Linked DNA regions of Notamacropus eugenii. The protein of the gene in region 2 purifies or fractionates together with the protein of the main gene of each other region. This does not show direct contact. Links are inferred from orthologs where the notes say so. Each region holds a gene or a part of one and is shown on either strand. Other genes may lie near its edges.

Evidence for each region. The genes of interacting proteins can lie anywhere in the genome.
Region 1: the proteins of CBX5 (region 2) and CHD4 purify together in Homo sapiens (affinity purification with mass spectrometry; 5 studies listed by BioGRID and IntAct, with this or other methods). This does not show direct contact. The link is inferred for Notamacropus eugenii from reciprocal best matches to the Homo sapiens genes CBX5 and CHD4.

Annotation. Positions count from the first base shown.
Region 1 is NC_092874.1:194,885,710-194,889,454, forward strand, and holds the start of CHD4 (chromodomain-helicase-DNA-binding protein 4), read right to left. Parts: upstream 2,695-3,745; 5' UTR 1,977-2,694; intron 1,814-1,976; 5' UTR 1,736-1,813; coding exon 1,639-1,735; intron 1-1,638. UniProt on the Homo sapiens protein: ATP-dependent chromatin-remodeling factor that binds and distorts nucleosomal DNA. Acts as a component of the histone deacetylase NuRD complex which participates in the remodeling of chromatin.
Region 2 is NC_092874.1:227,404,656-227,408,400, reverse strand, and holds the start of CBX5 (chromobox protein homolog 5), read left to right. Parts: upstream 1-845; 5' UTR 846-1,094; intron 1,095-3,745. Other genes in the region: HNRNPA1 (heterogeneous nuclear ribonucleoprotein A1), read right to left, coding at 287-301. UniProt on the Homo sapiens protein: Component of heterochromatin that recognizes and binds histone H3 tails methylated at 'Lys-9' (H3K9me), leading to epigenetic repression. In contrast, it is excluded from chromatin when 'Tyr-41' of histone H3 is phosphorylated (H3Y41ph).

The DNA of each region.
Region 1 (3,745 bases), about 33 Mb from region 2:
GACAACACAACAACTATATGGTACCCTAGCCTACATGAACCAAAAGAGTTCAAAATTTGGCCCTCCACTATACCAGACTAAAGCAAAGGACAGGGGAAGATAGGGATTAACATCTACCCAAACAACTATGAAGGGTATAGCAGAGGCTCCACTACACACATCCGTGACCCCAACTTAGCCCCAAATCTAGAAGCATTTCTAAGGCAGCCCAGTTCTTGTCAAAAGTAAAGAAAATTAAAAATAAAAAAGATAGTCACTGGGGAACCTAAGCAAGATCAGTAGCCTTTGGAATGCAAGAATGGCTGGCTCAGATAACAAAAGCAGTAGTTAACATTTATATACCACTTTTAAGGTTTACAAAGTACTTTCCATACATTTTCTCATTTGAACTTCACAATAACTTTGTGAAGTAGGTTCTACACATCTATTTTCTCCATTTAACTGAAGACCAAACTGAGGCTCAGAGAGGTTTCTTGGCTGGCTAACGGCCACACAGCTAACAACAGAATGTGATTCCAGGGCTCACTACACTGTCTCTCTGATACTTCAAGATCCAATAGAAGAAGAAAGTTCTCATGAATAGACAATAGGGAGGATAAGAAAATCTGAGATGGGGAATAAAGAAAACAAGTAGGAGAACAAAAAGGCCAGTTTAGGGGCAGGAGAGAAGACAAGACAAGCATACAGCATCTCTCCATCTGAGCAGTGAACTAAAGCTCTGCTCCTCAGGACTGGTCAGTACCATCTCCGAAAAGCACAGGATAAATCAGACTACTTCAATTTGCCTGGTGCAAAGTCCCACCCCAAACACATATAACACACCTCTATACTTTCCTCTCCCCCTTCACCAAGATAAACATACTTTCCCAGACACAAAGTCTTCTGTTAAACATTCCTTCCCTAAAAAGAATGATGGAAAGTCTTTAAAAAAAATTCCTTCCTACTCAAATGTACTGGGGGAGCTCCTCTGCTCCCCAAACCCTCAAACCTTGTCTTCTAGATCATTAACATATTCCCTCAGCTTTCATTCCCCAACCAAAACACTCCAGCAATTTGCCTGGCTGCAAGTGCTCCATATCCCGGCTGTGAGCGAGATTCAAACTTTGCACAGTTCAGTCAGCAGAGAGAACAGAAAACCGGTAACTGATCACTGGCTAAAAATAAACTGAATAAGAGAACCCAGCAATCCCTGTTTATACTTTCCAAGGCATCACTGACCCCTACCCCCAAGACCCCACTAGATTTCAGGGAAGCTTGGCCACTCTGCCCCAAAACCCTAAGGCCAAGTCACAAAGCACTGGCTGACCATAACCTAAGCTTACTGCCACCCTATTCATTCTAAGCTTCACATAGAGCAAAATCTTCATCTCACCGTGAGCTCAGACCCTACAAATGGGCACAGATGGGCACTAAATGTCATCTCCAAGACACCTCAATCCATGATGCCCAAGGCAGAAACACATGGCTGCCATCACCCTTTTTACAGGGGAGCTCAGAAGAATTGAACCACTCCCTCTAGATACCCTCCCACCTCAGATCCTGCAAAGAGAGGCATTACCCAACCCTGCCCCAACAGTCACTAGGGGAAGGCCCCAAAGCCTCCTCTTTCCCAGCCTGTGGCCCCTTCTGAGCACTTACCTGGGTGGGGTGGGGGAAGGCTGTTTAGAAGCACCTCCATGTCCTCTTCCTCACTGCCTGCTGAGCAGGGGGATGGGGAGCCCAGGCCTGAAGCCATCCCCTTCCACTCCTGGCCAGGGAATTGGCCCAGCTGCTCCTGCCTCCGGCCTGGGGCCCTCTGTGCTGGCCCGAGTCACTGTGCAGAGGAGGGGGGAGGGGGGAAGAGACAGAGAAAGAGAGAGAACAGTCAGTGACGTGCACTGTCCCTGTCCCCCTCCCCCACCCCACCCCCACCTATTCTTTCCACCCACCACCCCACCAACCCCCCCTTGCCACTTGGGCCAGACGGCAAAACCCACTTGAACTGAACTTCGTTCTTCAGCGTTTCGGGGGAAGGGTCCGGGATGGGCCTCGCTCCCCGTGAGGAAGGCTAAGGCCAGAGGTGGGGCAGGGGCAGGAAGGAAGGGGCCCTTCCCTCCTCCAGGGCCAAGCGGGCATTGTGGGAGGACAGCTGAGGGCCGTAAGGAGAAGGGGCCAGAGCCCGGCGGGCTACGAGAGGGGCGATTCTCGGAGGCGGAAGGTCAGTGGGGGGCGGGAAGGGCCAGCTCCCGGACGCCGGGAGGGGTCAGTGCCCACTGAGGGCAGCTGATCCCGGGAGCGCTTCAGGTTTTCCAGGGAGCCAAGGGAAGGGGGCGGGTGGAGTCTCCAGACTTGAGCCCGGTCTGGAGCGGGGGAGAGAAGGGGGGGAAAGGGTCTGCAGGCTAACCTGGGGAGGGGGGCCAGGCCACGTGTCCCGGGGAACAAGCCCGCAAAGGGCAGCAGGGGGGGGGGGCAGGCGCCTAACACATTAGGAAGCCGCCCCCTCCCCGCTGTCCTGGGGGGCCGAAAGGGCCCACGGAGCCCGAGGAGGCGCCTCCAAGCCTTGGGTGGGGGAGGGCTCTGCTCTCCTCGGGCCCTTGGGGGCTCGGAGGGGGGGGCCGCCAGCCAGGTGTGAACGAGCTTTCTGCGGGACAGGGGAAGGACCCCCGGGGGAGTTTCTCTGGAAGGGGGTCTTTCCTTGGGGACCCCGCCCCCTCCTCACCCCGGAGCCGCGGGGTCCAGCTCTTGTAGCTCTCGCTCCCACTCCAGCTCCTCCTCGCCGCGGCCGAAGGGGGGAAAATGGCTCCGGCTCCGGCTTCGCCTCTTAAAGGGCCCGAAACACCGGCCGGGAAATCCCACAGCCCAAGCCCCGCCCCCCCCCCGCGGACAGCCCATAATAACCCCAACCAACTCCAACCCTCCCCAGTCCCCTTCCCCCCACCCTCCACCTTCCTCCCTGGATCTCCCCGGCAACGCCCGCCCCCTCGTCGCCCCAGCAACCATTGGCCCCGCCCCTTCATCGCTCGCGCGCGCGTGTCACCGGAGCAACCGCCCACCTCCCGGACATCCCATAATACTCGTGGACTCCCCCACTTCCATATACATATATGCCAGAGTTAGGGGCATCCCATAATACTCAGTTCCTTTGCAACTCAACCCTTTCTCCCCAAACATCCCATAATAACCATTCTCCTGCCAACTTCCCCACTCTAACCCCCCAGGATTGACATCCCATAATGATCCCTCTCACCCCTCCCTCTCCATGGCCATCCCATAATAACCACCCCTCCCAGCACTTCAGCCTTACATCCCATAATACTCACCCCCATCCCCCAACAGACATCCCATAATAACCACCCTCCATCCACCCCCAGTTTGACATCCCATAATATCCACCCTCGCCCTCTGCAACAACGGCCATTCAGGGCCCCTTCCCACACAACATCCCATAATAACCAGTCTCCCCCTTTCTATATAGACATCCCATAATAACCAACCCCATGGTAGCTCCCCCCAGCCCCTCCAGGCTAGTGTCCTCTGATAGTCTCACCACCATCATCCTCATCCTTTACACACTCACTCTGTAGTCTGGCAGCCCATAATAATCACCCCTCCCCTATATGCAGATGTCCCATAATGATCAGCACCCTCACTGTCACCCCACAGATGGACATCTAATCACCTCTTCCCTCAAGACATCCCATAATAATACAACTCTCCCACTCCAACCCAGATATCCCATAATAAACACCAGGGGCAGCTGGGCAGC
Region 2 (3,745 bases):
ATCAAGGGGAGATAAGGCCAAACGAGACAAAGGGTTTGGGCCGGTGGCACTCGAAGAGCCTGTAACTCGAGGACCGCGAGGGCTAAAGGCTCATGGCGGCCGGGCCTACAAAATGGCGACCTAGGAGGGGGGGGTGTGGAAGGAGCAGGCCACAGCGACAGCAGGCTACAGAACTCACGGATAAAGGTCGTATTAGAGGCGTATTGGGCTAAGCACCGTAAGAGGATACGGGGAACAGAACAGAGAAGAACGAGATAGCACAATCGTTGGGCTGCGACTCCCTTACCTCTGACTTCGACATGGTGAGAGCGGTAGCAAAAGCTTCAGCGATCCTTCTCCAACGGTGTCGAGAACAGAAAGGAGATAGCTAACTAGCGTTTCTGTCTCCCCACCTTCGTACCCGCTTTTTAATCCCGCCTCCTCGCGTTCTGCATTGGTAGACTCCTCCCCTCCTTGTCAACCATTGGATAGCTCCAATCATTCTAGCTACCGATTGGTCTATGGTAGCGCATCTTTGCGTAGCGTAATGCGTTGCGTAAATTCCGCCCCGAGGAAGCTGCTGATTGGCTTCTGAGAAGTTCTTTTTTTTTTTAAAGCGCCTGATTGGCTCTCCTGCCAGTCACTCTTGTTTGAAGGTAACCAGTTTTTTTTAGGTAACTTTAATTTTTAATTGTTTAAAATATTACGCTATATTTAGGGAGGAAAACACTATTAAACGTGAAAAATTAAAAAAATAATAAATGACTAACAATTACTTCTTGGGCTTCTATTCTCTGAGAGCGCATGCGTAGTGCCACAGCCAATTAACGCAAGCGCAGTAAAAAGACCTGACGGCTATTTGTACAACGTGTAATGGCGGGGAAGAACGGACCTATGTAATACACCTGCGCAGTGGCGGGAGTCTTGTCCCTTTATGCGCATGCGCAGTGGGCGGAGGAAGGGTCCTTCGTTGGATCGCGTGCGCAAGCGCAGCGGCGGATCCGTTTTGGCGGGCGGTTGGCGTTGCGCAGAAGGCGGCGGTGGTTCCTTGTGGTCCGGCCTCTTCGCAGAGGAACGGGGACAAGGTTAGGGTGAGAGAACGCTCTCAGTCCCGGGTAAGTGGAAAACAACCATGTCTACACTTCTAGGTCCTTGGAGCAATTCCAATCGGGCCCGTTATTGTGTGAAATGAATGGACCGCTGGGGTGGGGGGGGGCGGAGGAAGAGCGACAGGGTTGATCAACCAATAGGCGAACAGGAGGCGGGTGTAATTGTCCTGATGGCCTGTCCTCTCGTCCAATGGCTGTATAGGAGGGAACCCAATGGATGAATAAGATTGACAAGACCGTAGACCAATTGAGACTCCATTTGGTGGTTCTTAGTAACTGACATCGATCCTTGGGCCACAGGAAGGCGGGAGGCGGGTTCTTTCCTGAGCTGGGACGCTCTAAGCAAATTGGAGAGAAGTGCGCGGGGAGGTTGGGCTCGCCAGAGAGACAAGGGTCTGAGCCCAATGTGAGAGATGAGGGCTGGGTCTTTCAGATAGATGGACCAGGCGAATAGCCAATGGGAGGTCAAACCAAGGAAAGCGCGCGGGGAGACGGCCCAATCAGCGCTCTGGCGGGGGGTGGGTTTAGATTTGGGGTTCCGAGGAAGGAGGATTGCCTTTTGGGGGTGGGGATCCCTAGGGGATGACTTGTTTTTCACGGAGGTCTGTGGGCTTGCCCAGTCCCATCTGTGGTCCTGTTCTGAGGCTTGTAAGCCTGATTGATCATCAGTGCTTGCCTTTTCTTCGGCCCTTTTTCCTCTTAGGGTTCAGTGCAGGCCAGGGAAAGACTAAGACCACATGTTTGTCTACAACCTTGCTTTGTACCCTATAGGCACACTCACCCCAAGACCACATGTTTGCAACCTTGCCTTGTAACACATACTTACACTGCAAGACTACATAATTTTTCTGGAATCTTGCTTTTTAGCACATAACACCCTCATCCAAGACCACATGTTTGTCTGGAACCTTTCTTTGTAACACGTACATACACTCCAAGACTACAAATTTCTTTGGAACCTTGCTTCTTAACACACATGTACACCAAGACCACATATTTGGAGCCTTATTTTTTAACATAACATAGATATTTGTCTGGAACTTGCTTTTTAAGGCACAAATATACACACACACACCTTCCCCATTTCACCCCTTTTCTTTTGCAATGAAGGAAATTTCAGACCTCTCTCTATCTAGTCATCTGGTCATCTGAAACTACCTCACTTGTAAAATGAGGAAACTTCCCAAGTAGCCATGCCTTGGGGAATCCAGAAGCCTTTCAATAACCAGGATGAATCCTTGAGGAATTGAGGTGATTCCAGATCCACACTTACCTATTCACATGTTCGTGAATGAAAGAAATGTCATCAGATGCTTTGTTCCAGACTAGTTCAGTAAGGGTTAATAATTGAGCTTCTTTGGAAGTAGCATAATTTAGGAAATTTTATTATATAGTCCCCTCTGACTTTGTACACAAAAGAAATAAAATTTTAAAAAGACATTTGGTAAATAAAAACTCAAAATTTGCTTTCCTGCTCATTTCCATTTTCTGTGATCTATGCAAAAGATGAAATCTTCTGAGGAGGCCCTGTAATTTCCTTGGTTTAGGGAAGCACAGAGTAAGGAAATCAAACTCCTTAAAGTGTCAGAATTCCTGGGATAGTTTAAGTGACTTGCCGGGGAACACTCAACCAGGATATATGTGTCAGAAACTAGACTTGAACCCATATTTTCTTAACTTCAAGACTATCTCTCTATCCACAATAACAGGATGTATCTGAAAGTGATCTAACTAGTCACAATCTCAGTATTTGACCACAAGGTGTGATGTGAGATGAGTTAAAATTAATCATTATATCATTTGTTTTAAAGGTAGGAGGGAAATGAATAATTTGATTTAATACCACATTTGATGAGAATCTCATGTGAACCTTTATCTGCCTTTCATATAAACTGGAGATTAAACATAGGGAGAAAGAGATATGCCATATGATAGTAGTATTTGAAAACCAGATTAACAAGTGTGTGGACTCTTTATTTAAAGATCTGATAAATCAGATCTATAGGCTTCACATTTTCCAAGAAAAGTGTATTTTTTGTGTTTTCCATGTATGGTTGAATAAAAACAAAAATTCATTAAAATTTTTATTATTGTTACTAACCTGTGACCTGTTAATTGCTATACATTTGTATTGTGTTCACAGACGTTGAATGCTTAAAATGAGTGTGAATGTGCTTTTGTTCAAAGTGGACTTTATTTCATTATTTCTTTTATTTTCAGCTAGGTTGGACCTCTTAACAAGCCATTTTAATTAAGTGGTTTGTTCACACTTTTTCTTTGGAAACTAGGTCCCCAAATCACTCCCTCTTCCAGTCAAGAATGGACAGCTGATTTACCATCTTTGGGAAAAGGTGTCTTCTTTGTCTGTGAGGATTCACCTTTGCAGCCTGTTAAATATGAAATGTGTGAACATGGCAGTTTGAATGACAGATTAAGTGAGTAAGGATTGGGAGGCTGAACAGCTTCAGGTTCAACCCCAGAAGTTCTTGGTTGTACAGCTAAAGTAAGCAACAGTTCTTGATTTAGTTTGTTTTGTTGAGAATTTTCCTCTTTTTAAAAAAAATTTTTTCGTTACATATTAAGTTCTAAACTGTCTCCCTTTTACCCTCTCTCCTCATCCTGAACTTAGAGAAGGCCACCATTTGAGACTGATGTGT